Linked DNA regions of Caenorhabditis elegans. The protein of the gene in region 2 purifies or fractionates together with the protein of the main gene of each other region. This does not show direct contact. Each region holds a gene or a part of one and is shown on either strand. Other genes may lie near its edges.

What was found. The genes of interacting proteins can lie anywhere in the genome.
Region 1: the proteins of nfya-1 (region 2) and nfyb-1 purify together in Caenorhabditis elegans (affinity purification with western blotting, with the first as the bait; one study listed by BioGRID). This does not show direct contact.

The regions. Positions count from the first base shown.
Region 1 is NC_003280.10:460,109-469,314, reverse strand, and holds nfyb-1 (Nuclear transcription factor Y subunit nfyb-1), read left to right. Parts: upstream 1-1,949; 5' UTR 1,950-1,978; coding exon 1,979-2,183; intron 2,184-2,409; exon of another isoform or gene 2,410-2,466; intron 2,467-2,761; coding exon 2,762-2,923; intron 2,924-3,071; coding exon 3,072-3,272; intron 3,273-4,744; coding exon 4,745-4,863; intron 4,864-5,137; coding exon 5,138-5,294; intron 5,295-5,934; coding exon 5,935-6,011; intron 6,012-6,641; coding exon 6,642-6,741; intron 6,742-7,111; coding exon 7,112-7,302; 3' UTR 7,303-7,648; downstream 7,649-9,206. Other genes in the region: tomm-22 (Mitochondrial import receptor subunit TOM22 homolog), read left to right, coding at 635-805; W10D9.3 (MKRN2 opposite strand protein-like C-terminal domain-containing protein), read left to right, coding at 8,556-8,558, 8,992-9,114, 9,161-9,206.
Region 2 is NC_003284.9:11,941,269-11,948,583, forward strand, and holds nfya-1 (Nuclear transcription factor Y subunit nfya-1), read right to left. Parts: upstream 5,571-7,315; 5' UTR 5,535-5,570; coding exon 5,343-5,534; intron 5,057-5,342; coding exon 4,726-5,056; intron 4,683-4,725; coding exon 4,590-4,682; intron 4,530-4,589; coding exon 4,459-4,529; intron 4,403-4,458; coding exon 4,316-4,402; intron 4,269-4,315; coding exon 4,184-4,268; intron 4,057-4,183; coding exon 3,829-4,056; intron 3,753-3,828; coding exon 3,626-3,752; intron 3,571-3,625; coding exon 3,336-3,570; 3' UTR 3,017-3,335; downstream 1-3,016. Other genes in the region: F55G7.3 (BLVR domain-containing protein), read right to left, coding at 22-113, 159-309, 538-783. UniProt on the Caenorhabditis elegans protein: Component of the sequence-specific heterotrimeric transcription factor (nfya-1-NF-Y) which specifically recognizes a 5'-CCAAT-3' box motif found in the promoters of its target genes to regulate their expression and control cellular identity in particular tissue types.

The DNA of each region.
Region 1 (9,206 bases), on a different chromosome or scaffold from region 2:
GATTTTCAACTGGAAAAAGCCAAAATTCTTCATATTTCACACTGAAAACTCTAAATAAAATCAATTTTCTTTCAGTTTTCCTCTAATTTCTGTTCTAAATTATAAAAATTATCGATTTTTGCATTAAAAAACCGGAAAATCAATAATTTGGCAATTTTGAACCGAGAAAAAGTTGAAAATTTGCCTATTTTACACTGAAAACTCTAAAAAAGATTCAATTTTCTTTCAGTTTTCCCGAATTTCTGCTCTAAAAACTAAAAATTATCGATTTTTGCAGTATAACATCTAGAAAATCAACAATTTGACAATTTTAAACTGAAAAAAAGTAAAAATTCGGCCTTTTTTATTTGAAAACTCAAAAAAATCTTATTTATTCCTCTAAAAACCAAAAATTATTGATTTTTGCTATAAAACACTCGGAAAATCAACAATTTGACAATTTTTAATAGAGAAAAAATTAAAAATTTGCTTATTTTACACTGAAAACTCTAAAAAAGAATATGTTTTCTTTCAGTTTTCCCGAATTTCTGCTCTAAAAACTAAAAATTATCGATTTTTGTAAAAAAATCTCAATTTGACAGTAAAAACTCATATTTCACACTGAAAACTCCAAAAAAACTCAATTTTCTTTCAGTTTTCCCTTACAAAAAGCACAATTTGGGTTGTATCTACAACGTCATTGATCGCCTTCCTTCCATACATTATCGAAAAGGAACGAAGTGATTTGGAAAAGACTCAAGTGGCTCAGCAACGTCAAATGCTTCTCGGACCATCTGCGGCCATTCAACAAGCCAAAACTGCTTGAAAAACTTGATTTTCTCGCCGAAAATCCCCCTTAAAACCGTCTGAAATTGATCTTTTCCTAGATTTTCCCCTGTTTTTCGTCTTCTGATAGCTTTTTTTGCGATAGAATTCATTATCATATAAATTGTTGATTTTCTAACATTTTTCAAGGATTTTTCTAGCACAATATCCCGGTTTTTTCATCCAAAACTTGTATTTTTATCGATTTTTTTGACGTTTTTCACTTTTTCCAGGTAAAAATCCGAATTTTAAGCTTTAAAAAGCCTTAAAAAACACAAAAATTGCAAATTTTCGCGCTGAAAGTCGCATAAAATTGAATTTTTATAATTTCTGTTCGAAAAATCTTCAATTTTTCGCTGAAAAATTTTTTCCCTGGCAAAAATTCAAATTTTGGGTCTGCTAGGCTACAAACTACAAATTTCGATTTAGCAGACCCGATTTAGAAGAAAAAACGAAGAGTTTTCAGTCTAAAAAGCTTGAAAAATAGCCTTAAAACTTGATTTTTTCGCTTTTTTATTGAAAAAAAACAAAATTTATCATTTTTATCCCAGAAAATCGCTGAAAACCCCGAATTTCGCCTATTTTCTTCGTTTTCACCCAATTTTCTTCAAATTTTCGCAATTTTCAGCTCATTTCCATTATCTAAATTTTTTGCAGCACTGTATTCGGGTTATTTCATCCAAAATGCGTATTTTTATCTTTTTTTCTTGTAGTTTTTCACTTTTTTTCAGGCAAAAATATATGAGACATCGAATTTTAAGCTTTAAAAATGCTTAAAAACACAAAAATCGTCAATTTTTGCACTAAAAGTCCCAAAAACTTCAATTTTTCTAATTTTTATTCGAAAAATGTTCAATTTCTCGCTGAAAAATTGCTTTAAAAAAATTTAATTCTGAAAATTTTTGGTCTGCTAGACTACAAACTACAAATTTCGATTTAGCAGACCAATGTGATTTTTAAGAAGAAATTACGAGTTTTCACTTCGAAAAGCTTGAAAAATGGTCTTGAAACTTGATTTTTCCTGTTTTTTAATCTAAAAAATTAAAAATTTAGCATTTTCAGCTCGGAAAATCGCTGAAAACCCCGAATTTTTGCTATTTTTCCTTGTTTTCACCTTATTTTCTTCAAATTTTCGCAATTTTCAGCCCGTGTCCACCGTCTAAAAGCTCCCAAAATGGATCCAAAACCCATAAACGAAGGAATGTTACTGGAGGATCATGATCATGGAATGCCTGAAGAAGAAGAAATAACAGAAGATGATATGAATGGAATTCATAATATAGAAGAGGATACACGAACAATTAGTGAAATAGCAATGGAGCTTCATCATCCGAATAAAAGTCAAGTTTTACTTGATCAGGAACGATTTTTGCCAATTGGTATGGGAAAACATGCGGAAATTTTGATGAAAATCGATAAATTCCCGGAATTTTACACGAAAAATTGAAATTTCTTGAAAAATCTAGACTGAAAAGTGAAAAAATTCATAAATTTCCGATAAAAACCGCCATTTTTTCTAAAATTGCCCTTTAAAATGAAAAAATATCACATGGGTCTGCTAAATCGAAAATTGTAGTTTGTAGTCTAGCAGACCAATTTTGTTCAAAATCACTTTGGTCTGCTAAATCGAATTTTGTAGTTTGTAGTCTAGCAGACCAAACTTCTTCAATATCTATTGGTCTGCTAAATCTAAACTTGTAGTTTGTAGTCTAGCAGACCAATTTTGTTCAGAACAACAATGGTCTGCTAAATCGAATATTGTAGTTTGTAGTCTAGCAGACCAATTTTTTACAATTTTTTTTTCAAAAACATAAATTTTCGACAAAAATCGATTTTTTTTGTAATTTTTTTTTCAAGAATTGAAAGTTTCTCTGCAAAAAGGCATCAAGCTCGAGATTTTTCAATTTTTTTAAAACAAAAATCGTTGAAAATTCTCCAAAAATCCCAATTTTTTCAGCTAACGTGGTCCGAATCATGAAAACTCAAATGGATCCGCAGGCGAAATTGGCAAAAGACGCAAAGGAGTGTGCTCAAGAGTGTGTTTCAGAGTTTATAAGCTTTATCGCTTCGGAAGCCGCTGAAATATGCAATATTACGAAGCGGAAGACTATTACTGCAGGTAAAACCGGGAAACTCCGTCTAAAATTACCCGCAAATCGTCCAAAAACTACAATTTTCGCATGGAAAACCTTTTTAAAAACTCAAAAACAGCCCAAAAGCCCAAAAAACCCTAAAAACCGCAATTTTCAATATAAAAAAATTTCCAGACGACCTGCTCACCGCGATGGAAGCCACAGGATTCGACAATTACGCGGAGCCAATGCGAATTTTCCTTCAAAAGTACCGTCAGGCTCACAAGATCACTGGACCAATTCACAGAACACACCCAGACTACGTACGGCCTCCACAATTTCAAATGGATCCTTTTGTTCGGCCATTATTCTTCGATACGGAGCAAGGACGCAGATGTTCGTGTGTGAAAATCGGAAAATTTTGCCTGAAAATAGATTAAATTGATGGAAAAATAGAAAAAAAAACTGGAAATTTGACTGGAAATGGATTAAATTTATGGAAAAAATAGTAAAAAACTAGAAATTTCACAGAAAATAGACTAAATTAGTGGAAAAAAATAGAAAAAACGAAATTTGACAGAAAATAGACTAAATTTATGGAAAAAATAGTAAAAAACTAGAAATTTGACAGAAAATAGACTAAATTTATGGAAAAAAATAGAAAAAACGAAATTTGACAGAAAATAGACTAAATTTATGGAAAAAATAATAAAAAACTAGAAATTTCACAGAAAATAGACTAAATTTATGGAAAAAATAATAAAAAACTAGAAATTTCACAGAAAATAGACTAAATTTATGGAAAAAATAGAAAAAACCGGAAACTTGAAATTTAGACTAAGAATTGTTTTTTTTTCAAAGATTGAAGTACTGAGAATGATGATTTTTCATTTAAAAAAATTGTCAAAACTCTGAATTTTTTGCTGAAAAATATTCAGAAGCCGAAATAATAGTAAAAAAACGGTGAAAATTGCATTTTTTCCACATAAATCTCAAAAATTCATTTTTCAGTTTTTTTCAACTACAGTATCCTTTGAAGTCATAGAAAAAATTACAAGATTCGCAGAAAACTCGAAAAAATCATAATTTTAACGCTAAAAACTTAAAATTCAGAATTTTTGGCTTTTAATTTCGGCTTCTGAGTATTTTTCAGCAAAAAATTTAGAGTTTTGACACATTTTTAATGAAAATTATCATTCTCAGTGCTTCAAGCTTTGAAAAATTAATGGGAAGAATAGTAAAAACCTGAACAAAAATGGTTTTCTCTGGAAAAATTCCTAAAAATTTTTTTCAGAGCTTGAAGCACTGAGAATGATGATTTTCCTTTAAAAATTTGTCAAAATTCTAAATTTTTTGCTGAAAGTTGCACAAATTCTTAATTTTGAATTTTTAGCGTTAAATATATGATTTTTTCGAGTTTTCTACGAATCTTGCAACTTGTTCTATGACTTTCAAGGATACTATAGTTAAAAAAAAACTAATAATGCATTTTTAAGATTTATATGGAAAAATTGCAATTCTCACCGTTTTTTTCCCAAAATTTTGAATTTTTCGCGAAACTCAGCAGCTTTGCATAGTAGTTTCAAGCGACTTTTTTTCGGAAAAATACCGAAACTTGCTCTGAAAATGCCATATAACTCCTATAAGGATTACTGTAGTTTCTCTACAAAAATAAATTTCTGTGACTCATGTCCTTCTATCCAAATTGATGGCTGGAATATCGGTATTCTCGGCTGAAACATGCAATAAATACCGTATTCCAACCAACAATTTGTGCAATAGAGCACATTTGTCACCGGAGATGCGGAAGCTATGCCCAAATTTTCAATTTTTCTAGGAAAATGATGAAAAAAATTGCAATTTTCCAGGTACCGAGACTCAATACGTGATAAATGGCAGTGAAATTGTGAAAAATGCTCCATTGGGAGAAGAATGGAATGAGCAAACTGGTACATTGAATACCCGCGCAGATGGATATTATATGGAGGTGAAAATTGGATTTTCTGGATGGAAAACTGTGGAAAAATGGATTTTTCCACTAAAAACCTGAATTTTTAACTCAAAAATTGATTTTTTTAACTCAAAAATTGAATTTTTAATTCAAAAATTGAATTTTTAATTCAAAAATTGAATTTTTAACTCAAAAATTGAATTTTTAATTCAAAAATTGAATTTTTAACTCAAAAATTGAATTTTTAACTCAAAAATTGATTTTTTAACTCAAAAATTGATTTTTTAACTCAAAAAATTCGATTTTTCAGGAGCCAATGGAGCCGATGCCGATGGAAGAAGTAGAAATTGAAGAACACGAGGAAATTATTGAGCAAGATTCACTTGGAGCCATCGCCTTGGAGCAACAAGGCCAAATGCAGATTTATGTGGATCCAAAGACGAAACAACATTTTGCAGCGAAAGAAAGTACGGAATTTTTTATGAAATTCTGAATTTTCCAGCGTGAAAATTGGAAAAATTGAGAAAAATCGATTTTTTTTTGTGAAAATTCCGGAAAAATCGAAGTTTCGCCGATTTTGTGGCGTTTCCAGAAAATTTCTCATTTTTTTCCTTAAAAATTAGAAAAATTAGATTTTTACAGCACAAAAAAAACAGAAAATTGAAATTTTCTTGATTTCCAGCTCAAAAATTGGAAAAAATGGTTTAAAACCGATTTTGAACGGAAAAAATCTAGGAAAATCGATTTTTTTTTTGGTGAAAACTTCAGAAAAAATCGAAATTTCGTCAACTTTTGTGGATTTTACTGAAAATTCCCTATGTTTGCCGTAAAGATTAGAAAAAATTGGTCCAGATTTGATTTTTACAGCAGAAAACTAGAAAATTCAAATTTTTTTTGATTTTTAGCATAAAAACTCGAAAAAATTGGTTTTAATTTGATTTTCTACCTGAAAAATCCGAGAAAATCGATATTTTCCCGATTTTTATATTAAAATTTGTGAAAATTGACATTTTCTCGATTTTTCTGAAAACAATTGTGAATTTTCTCGATTTTCTGTCAAATATCTAAGAAAATGTTTTTAAATAATTCCGGAAAAGCAAATTTCAGCTCCGAATGGCATGGAACTCTACCCTCTGATCATCCAGGACACCCCACTGCAATTGGAAAATGTTTCTGGGCCAAATGTACGATTTCCAGCACTTTTCACAGCGAATTTCAGATTTTTAGTGCGAAATTCGAATTCAGCGCCTCAATTTACCCCCAGAACCCTGTTTCCCCGTCTTCTAGCTCAACATTTTGAATATTTCGGGTTACTGTAGCCCCAAGAGTACGCAAACACCGACTACTGTAACCCAAAGCACCAGATTTTACGGCATTGGCGAATTTCGAGCTGAAAATTGATTTGACGGGGTAAATTGGAGTGCTGAATTCAAAAATCGTATTTAAAATTTCAGAAAATTTGATTTGAAAATCGGAAATTTTGAAATTTTCAGACAAATTTTTTTTTGGGCAAAAACCTTGTAATTTTGAAATTTTAATGCGAAATTCGAATTCAGCGCCAAAAATTACCTTCATTTTCCTTTTCCCCGTGCTTCTAGCTCAAAGTTTGAATATTTTGGGTTACTGTAGCCCCAAGAGTACGCAAATACCGACTACAGTACCCCAAAACACCAGATTTTACGAAATTTGCGAATGTTGAGCTGAAAATTGATTTCCCGGGGTAAAATTGGAGTGCTGAATTCGAAAATCGTATTGAAAATTTCAGAAATTTTGATTAAAAAATTTTTTTTGTTCGAAATTTAATATTTTTTCAGCAATTCGTTATGAATATGCCAGATGGACGAGCAATACCCCACGGAATGGGACAAGAAGAGCCTCAGCCAGTGTCAAGTAGCTCAGTTATGCGGAAAATCGGTAAAATATTGCATTTTTTAGTGATTTTCTGTTCAAAAATGCTGAAAAATGGAGATTTTACTGGTTTTAATGGGAAAAAATCAAGTTTTTAGCATTTTTGAGCCATTTTAATCGGGAAAAAAGTGATTTTGAAGCATTTTAACCCCAATTTTCCAGTTTTATAAAATGAATTTTCCGATTAAATAAGTGTTTTCATGTATTTTCAGCTAATTTTTAGTCTTTTTTAATCGAAAAAACTGATTTTCAGCCAATTTTTCTTTTAAAAAAAGTGATTTTAGGCATTTTTGGCCTATTTTTACCTATTTTGCATATGTTTTTTTCAGAAAAATGAAATTTTTGCACATTTTCAGTCAATTTTCCCGATTTTCAGGTCAAAATCCGTCTTCCTATGCCCAGCAGCACCACCACGTCAGCCACGTGGAACAACACGATGACGTGGAATATGAAGAAGAAGAAGAAGTAGATCAAGTAGAGGAGGATACAGTACCCGTTCCAATCGCGCCGAGACCCGCAGCCACCCGAGTTCAGCCGAAACGAACGCCGACGAAGAGGAAAAAGTAGAGAAAATTGCAAAAAATGATAATTTCTCGATTTTTATTGTATTTTTCGCATTTTTTCACCCTGAAATCCCAACTTTTTGAGGAATTTTTAAAATTTTGCACTGAAAATCACCATTTTTACCGAATTTTTTATTGGATTTTTTCTCATTTTCCCTCAAAACTGAATCTGAAAACTGCAATTTTTGCAAAAATTCAATTTTCCAAAATTTTCCATTTTTCATTGATCTCCATCGTATCCATTTCCTTGACAACTTAACATATACAATTGTAATTATTTTTGAAATATTTATTCATTTATTTATTTATATCTCTAATTTATTGCAAAAAAATAAATTCAATTATACCCCAATGCCTCAGTTTTCACTTAACCACCAAAAAAATTCGTTTCAAATCGATTTTTCAATTTTTCCACACTTTTCCCATTGAATTTCAAATTTTCAATGCGAAATTCGAATTCAGCGCCTCAAATTACCCCTATTTCCTTTTTCTCCCGGCTTCCAGCTCTAATTTTAAGAAAATTGGGGTACTGTAGCTCCAGGAGTACGCAAACACTGACTACAGTACCCCAAAACGCCTGATTTTACGACACTTGCGAATTTTGAGCTGAAAATTGATTTGACGGAGTAAAATGGGGTGCTGAATTCTAAAATCGTATTAAAAATTTCTGAAAATTTTTATTTGAAAATCTGAAATTTTGAGATTTTCAGAGAAATTTTTTTTTGAGGCGCCAAACTTGTAAGTTTGAATTTTCAATGTGAAATTCGAATTCAGCGTTAAAAGTAACCCTATAGTCCGTTTCTTCCGGCTTCTAGCTCGAAATTTTAAAAATTTGGGGTACTGTAATCCCAAAAGTGCGCAAACACCGACTACAGTACCCCAAAACGCCAGATTTTACGACATTGGCGAATTTTGGGCTAAAAACTGATTTGACGGGGTAAAATAAAGTGCTGAGTACGAAAATCGTATTGAAAATTTTTGAAAATTCGATTTGAAAATCTTAAATTTTGAGATTTTCAGACAAAATTTTTTTTGGCAAAAAACTTGTAATTTTGAAATGTTTAATGTGAAATTCAAATTCAGCACCTTAAATTGGCCCTTATCCCCGGTTTCCCTGGTTTTCAACTCAAAAATGAGAAATTTTGGGTTACTGTAGCACCAAGAGTACGCAAACACCGACTACAGTCCCCCAAAACACTTGATTTCACGACATTGGTGAATTTCAAGCTGAAAATTGATGTGACGGGGTAAAATAGGATGGTGAGTTCGAAAATCGTATTGAAAATTTTTGAAAATTCGATTTGAAAATCTTAAATTTTGAGATTTTCAGACAAAATTTGTTTTTGTTTAAAAAAAAATCGAAAATTTCAAATTTCAATGCGAAATTCGAATTCAGCGCCTCAAATTACCCCTATTTCCCTTTTTCCCCGGCTTCCAGCTCAAAAATTGAAGTTTTGTGGTACTGTAGCTCCAAAAGTACGCAAACACCGACTACAGTACCCCAAAACACTTGATTTTACGACATATGCGAATTTCGAGCTGAAAATTGATTTCACGGGGTAAAATGGGATGCTAAATTCGAAAATCATAATAAAATTTTTTGAAAAAAATTTGAAAGTGAAATTTTCAGATTTTCAGGCAGAAAATATTTTTCCGATTTTTTTGAAATTTTTGTTTCAAAATTAATTTACAGCCCCCCAACAAAATGTACATATCTACAGTAAACCATATCGGGTGCACCACACGATTTCTCCTTGTAGAACCACTAAATTTCAAATCAAAATGCCCGGATTGTCAGGCAAAAATCGAGAAAAATGTGAGAAAATCTGGAATTTTTCATAGAAATTTTTGGGTTTTTTCAGGAAAAATGGACGATTTCAAGGCTCCCATGCCCACTGGCTCAGTCAC
Region 2 (7,315 bases):
GCATAATAAAAATTCACTTACAGTACTATTTTGTTTTTTCTCTTCATCTGATCCTAAAGTTACGTTGATTTCTTCGCTGGCAAAAGTAGACATGTCTTCGTTTGTGTCCATTGCTGAACAATCTATCTTGTGAAAAATATTTTTACAGTTGAGTTTACCATCGGAAGCGTCAATATGCAAATCCTTGGATGCTTGAAATAAGGGCTCCACAGTGGTCTCGCTCATATTTTGGCTGTAAGTTCCCACGATTGGAAGGCTTTCCTGATTTGACAACTCATTGCTTCTTGTATTTGGACCCTGACGATGTTCCTGAATGAATCCCATATACCTAGCTAAAAAGATCTTGCAATTCATTCACTCTCTACTACAAAATTGTATGAAGAAGAAATTAACTAATGGCGAAGTTTTGTTACTAAATCACACCGAAATAGTCATACCCTAAAATTCAGTAAGTGACGAATAAAACTTGCAGCAATGGCAAATTTTTTTCTCCTTATGTGGTCTATAGAAATTATAAAAACCAATAAGGTAACTCACTTTATATAGATTTTCTGGTTTATTTGTAACGATTTGTCTGGTTGGCACCTTTCTCTTGAGTTTCTTTGCACATTTTGATACTTTGGATTGCTTCCTGAGTCGACGCTCTTTTAATTGCGATTTTCTCATTTTCTCACTAATTTTAGTGACAGATAAAAATCCGCTCCCTAGCTTTGGATTGTAACTGGGATCGTACGAGTCGTCGGATGATTCATCTGATTGTGAGTCTAAGAATTCAGGGTCCATGATTAACTGAAAAAGAAACATTTAGATCAAGGAACAACAAAACAGGACGGAAATAAGCTAAGAGAATGGGCACAGATGCAAAATCATGTTTTGATTCATAAACCACGTGGTTCATGTGGTTCATACGGAAAAGTTAGAATACGGCGATGTAGCGCATACATACATCTGAATGTGTTGCGAAGATATATAGAAAGCTAATTAATGCTTTTTTAGTTGCTATGGGAGACACGTGTGAAGTTGCGAAGGTGAATAGCAAAACCGAGGTAGCCGAGATCTTAAAGGTGGAATAACGGTTTGGGGGTATTTTACGTTTATATACTCAACATAAGCTCGAATCATAAAATCAGAAATGCAATTTAACCACTCCGAAACCAGACTTTCGGTGGTTTCGCAGAAACTACTTTCGAATAGACTGTGGGCAAATCGGTTCTGAACGTCAAGTCATAAAATGTAAAGAATTAATCAAAATAGAGAAAATAGAGAAACAATTCAGGCACAGCAAAAGGAAGGTCCACGCTGGCCAGAAAAATAAAAAAAATGGATAAGAAATTGAAATATAGGGAGAAAAAAAAACAAAAATAAGGAAACTAGCTAAAAAAAATCCAAGGTGTAAAATTCAAAAGAACAAAAATTTAAGTTACGAAATGGATAATTGAGATTCATTAGTGGATTTGACGCATAGAGGGTACACTTATTGCAAAAGTGTACAAATATAATTGATGTTTTCATACTTGATAGGGGAGACACGTGAGGAGGAGTTAATGAGTTGCGACGTCAACAAATGAAAATCTACCAAAATTGCAAAAATAAACGTCAGGGGTGTTAACTTTGCTCCTATTGTGAGAGTCATGTGTGAAATCAAAAGATTATTAATGACGTTTTTAACAATTGATATATTACGTGAAACAAGTTTTTCTAGAACGCGTATGTGAAAAACCTCGAAATATAATTTTTTCAGATGCATAATCAAACTCATTGTGAGCTTTCAAAAATAGTGAGATGTGCCGTTATTATGTTTCTGAACAATTCATACTTTATGTTGAAAAATTGTCAGTTGGAACTGGTTGAACATTTTTTTGGGCGTGCCAAAACAGTGTTACCCAAAATTCTAATGCCAACAACTTGAAACATGTTTGTAAAATTTGTAGAGAAACAATTTTATAGTGGATTGAAGTGGGACAACTGGGGGGTTGTCTTGTGAGTCAATGCAATTTTTTATTGTCATAAAAGCGTTAAATAAGTTTGATTTATGCAAAAAATATGTTCGCAGTTTTGTATCAGACACATTTGTTTTAGAACAATAGTTTTCAAGTAACATTATATTATTATCAAAAAATAACAATCGCACAGACCACGTGGCTTTTGTTTTTTATTTCTTTTTTATTTACGCTCCTCCCACGTCTGACCTTTAGTTCAGTTTTTAAATTATCTTTGAAAATAAAGTTGTGGGAAGAGCGTAAATAAAAAAGAAATAAAAAACAAAAGCCACGTGGCCTGTGCGATTGATATTTTTTGATAATATGTGGTTTATTTTTTCATGTCTTATTGAAATGTTTATTGAACTTATCACAAGTGTTCAAAACAACGATTCACATTGAGATGTCGTTCTTTGTGATTTCGACAAATGTGAACGCATTGGTGGACTGACTATGACACCTAACACAACGAGAATGGCCAAACATGATATTGCAAATTTTTACAGTTTGTGATTCAGTTTTATTTTTTTTTTGTTGGATGAATTGAAAATTTAGTATTCTTTTTTCCCTTTTTTCCAAGTAAGTGGCAGTAAAAAAATTTTACGGGGATGCAGAATTGAATTGGAACCTGTTCAATATGCGTACCACAAAATATCACAACATTTTCAAAATTGAAAAACTAATACCTGATTTTTTTTATTTTTAGATTTGCTAGGAATCATGATTTCTGAGCCTAGAAATGAAAAAGTTTCGGAAAAATTATTTGTGTGAATAAATTTTCGGAACAATTATTCATTTCAAAAATAAATTCATTAACAGCATTTGGGGAACAGCAACTACATGATTACCATCACATGTGGTGTCAGATTTTTGTAGATCAAGCCGTAATCCTATATCCACATGGCACCGCCCTTGCTTGTTTCCTGCAAAGTGCTAGCTGACACTAAAACTGTAATTTTCAAATGTTTTTACTTGCATGAAGGGAATGTTCGTTTGCAAATTGCATGAACACAATCAATATTAGAGTGGTAGCACATTTTGAAGCTTTTTAACAATACAGATTTATATTTGAGACAATTATGACACGAAGTTTTGCTGTCATACTTTTAAAAAAAGTGTAGCTTTTCATTGGATAGTTTGAAGACTGACATAACCCAACATGACGATTTAAAAAATGCATAATGAGGATAAAAAATTTGAAAACATTGAAAGAGAAATGGGCATAATCCCGAAGAAAAGATCGGTCAATAAGAGAAGGTACATTTCTGTGGCAAAAAGCGTAGGGAACATGAATGATTTTGGTGAGGTGAATTTTGTTTGGCAACGGTTGCAATACACATTAAGCTATTAATAAAATTAGAGATTCGTGAAACTTTGTCCATCACTTCCAGTTAAATCGACGCCATTGTCATGATTGTTGTGGTAATTCACATTACCATCCGGCGCGATATATTGGACGTGGTCGTGATATTGGTCGTAGGTAGACATGGGTTGCTGATGCTCGATATAATCCGTTTGATGATCCATGCCATTATTGATGTATCCAGTCGACGTCGACGGCATCGATGAATTGACTATCCCGCCCTTTGGTCTGAAATATTCACACATATTGAAAAATGAAACAATTTTAAATAAGAAAAACTAACTGAATTTCAACTGGCGATGGGAGAACTATTGAGGACGAATCAGAAGTTTCTTCACCAGGTAAGCGGTTCCGGCGTTTCAATTTTCTGGGAGACGTTGTACTGCTGACCATTGATGACGATTCGGCTGCTGGAAAGTAAAAACAATTAAACATTCAAGTTCAAAACATCTTTCCACTAATACAATTTTTTGAAAATCTGCTTACTTTTCGTATTGTCAAAACGCCCATCAAGCCCTCTCTTGCGTTTTAGTGCATGAAGATGACGACTTTCGTGGAGATACTTCTGGCGAGCAAGTGGGAGCCGTCCACTGGCTTCAAGCTGTTGCCTCATCTCACGTCTTCGCATAATTCTGTTGAACTGCTTCGGATTGACCAGCATGGGTTGTTGCACTTTTGGACCAATCATTTCTACATTGGGTACTGTTCCGTTTGCTGAAAAAAGGTATTATTCATTGGAACCGTTTAAAATAATTTTATTGCCGATGCAGTTTTGCGGAATATATTTTTCTGGGTGTAAATTTAAATTATCCCGTGAAAAGAAAAAAAATATCTGACTTACGGAAAGATAGTACTGGTAGTTCATCCCTGGGCCGAGCATTGTTAAAAAGATTTGAATCCATTTCCAACGTTTTTGGAAGCATTGCCTGAAACTCTATGTTTGTAGGAGATATTTTCACAATTTATAATCAACCTTCACATCTTCTTCCGTTGCATCCATTGGCATTGGAACCAAAAGCGTCCTAGGTATTCCGTCGAGCACCCATGAATATTGAAACAGCTGAAAACAGATTTAAATTGACTTTAGATCTACATACAAATGTAAAACTCCCTAACCTTGCAGTTTGGCGGCAGTTCTATTGTCGTCGGAACTTTTGACTGATTAATCTCATTGATTTTTCCAGAATCTGAATAGATAAGTATGTTTACAGTGTAGACTTTACACACATATCAAAAATTTACCATACCTAACAACTCTAGTTGCTCCCTTGCTTTCTGTCCATTCTCGGGTTCATTGGGTTTAAAAGATATTGCATGCGTGAATACGGGCTCAGACTCGTCTGTAAATAAAAATTTTGAAATTATATACTTAGCTTCACTCACTTGGACTGTAAAATGAGGTAGTCGTAGATGCCACCGATGTGCTTGGTTCATTATATTGGATATAACTGCCGTTCTGTGGTTGTGATTGAGAAACCGGAGCTGGGCCAAATGCTTGTTCAATTCGTTGTTGTTGTGAAGGTGTAACATGGGACGATCTATGGAATTGTGGGGCTCGAGCTGTAGAAACGCTAGCTGGAGTATATTGAGAGGGTGTAGTTTGAGTAGGCGTTGTTTGTGAAACTGATGCTTGATGAGTTTGAGATCTTACAACTGGAGGTTGGTGGCATTGTGTTTGAACGTTCGGCGAAGAAGTAGCTGGAGGTGAGGGGTTCTGAAATCAAGATAGGGTTAGTTTTATCTTTGAGATTACATCGAAAAAAGATTCATAAATACCATCAGAGTTTTAGCAACATTTGTTTCTCCATTAAATGACATCTCATTGTATTTTTAATTTTACTGTGTAACTCATCTCCTACTTTTTGTCAACATTTCAACATTTCTTGATACTTTTTCATCGACGGAAAGGGACGAGTTTAGTTCATTTGGCAGGAAAAATTAAAATTACTTTTCAAATTATTATGCCAGATTTAAGTTGAGAAAAAAAAAACTAATCTTACCACGTCTTTCACGAAACGCGGTCCTGGTAGTGGAACGGGACGTCTTATGGGAAGTTCTTTGGGTGTAGTATCCAGTGAAGTCCCGATTTTGGATGCCTTCTCGAATCGGAAAACTGTAGGCGGAATTGGTCGCTTTGCCGGAGCTTGAACTGGAGTGGGGCGCTGCACGTCGCCCCTCGACGCTCCATTCATTTTGTCTTGTTTTTTGATGATTGGATTTACCTGAAAATGAAAAATGATTAATCAATAATGAAACATTCCGTGTTTGAGGCTATTTGAGCTTTATATGGTTTTCCGATAAAACGGTGAAAATTGACAAAGTTATGGTAAAACATTATTTTCGTTAAATCAAAACGTCTAAATAAAACTTTCATTCAATAAATGTTAAATTCTCAGAAAATCAGAATAATTGAAAAGTTTTCTCGAAAAAAAAGATGAGAGAAAGTAAGAAAGGTTTTTATAATTTTGAAGTAGTGAATTCTAACGGTGGAAAAAAACTTCATGACTTAAAAGTTTACATTTTAAACTTTTAGTGTCTCTCAAAGTTCAAAAACTATTTCTGCAGAAAAAAAATGGCAAAACTAGTATGCAAAAATGTCTCGTAGTATCGAACCCTAGTAGCAACGACTGCAATCACCGAGACGACCAAATGCACCAATGCGCACTATTTTACGACAAATTCCCCTTCACGTACACGCTCAATGTTCGTATCGATTTGTGTTGACCAGAGAGGAGAGGGAGAAGAGAGAATGTAGTGACCGCAACGCGCACGTACGCACCCCAAGGTTGTTCTTCACGACGATGAATATGCATCCAACAACCAATTGATTTAGGAAGTGTCTGATGATAACGTCCCGAATGGATCATTGCGATTAGCAAGAAGTTTTTAATTATTACAAGTGATTTTTTCCACTCGCTTTTCAGGAATTTTACACATTTCTACAACATCGCTAACAATAATGCAAATGTTTCTTTGATGGCCAATTGTAAGGAGCTTCAAATTTGATCATTTTGACTTCACAATCAGATCAGAGAAGCAATTTATTTCCATTTGGGAGTACAAATCGATGTATGCATGTACATCAAAATAATATTCTCATGGAGGAACCCTGAAAAAACCGAAATTGATTGAAAATTTTTCAAATTCCTCCACAGAAAAAAAGGGAATAAGCTAAAATAATTGAAACGGATAAGCTATCATTTTCCTGGTTTTGGAGTTAAAATCAACAAGAGCATTTGTGCAATCTTGCAATTTCTGGACATCTGTAACATACAGGAGACTTCCACTAGCTGCCGAACTTAGCATTGATTCCTTCGTATCCCGACTTAACTTCAAAATTTTTTTCTGTGCACTTCTTTGCCAAAGTTCATGTGACTTGAAGCTATACAAACCTAAAATGGATAGCATTATGCTTGAAAAGACCCTAATTGCTGATTAATTATGTATTGAGGTATTACGAGAAAAATAACAGTAGTTCGTCGCTGACAATGAAATAACGTTACACAAATTTTATTTCAACTTTTAAGATCAGATTTAAGAAGATCCCAACACATAATTTATAGCATTGGGGTTCATTCTGAAACTTCTAAACAAAATAGACAATACATGATATATTGTTCAATAAAATTATTGTATTAATTTATTAAAGATTTCCAATCAAATACACCTGGCATTTCATTTTGTTTGGTTCCATTGTTTTTTACAACCGCAAAAAAAGAAGGAAAACAACCAAGTCCGCAAACATCTCAGTGACTGAATGCACAGACGGCGCAACGTTTGACGACAGATTAGTGTTTTGAACTGGTCCCGTACAGTCCTCAAGACTCTGTTTCTCATTTCCTAGTGTGCACAGAGCCGCGACGCAACCGCGCACGCTGCACACCATCTGCCGTTTTCCGAAAATGGTCATCTGTAACTTAAATATTCTAGGTGTTTTCTCACAATGTCTTTGGTTTATAAATTTTTTTTGAAT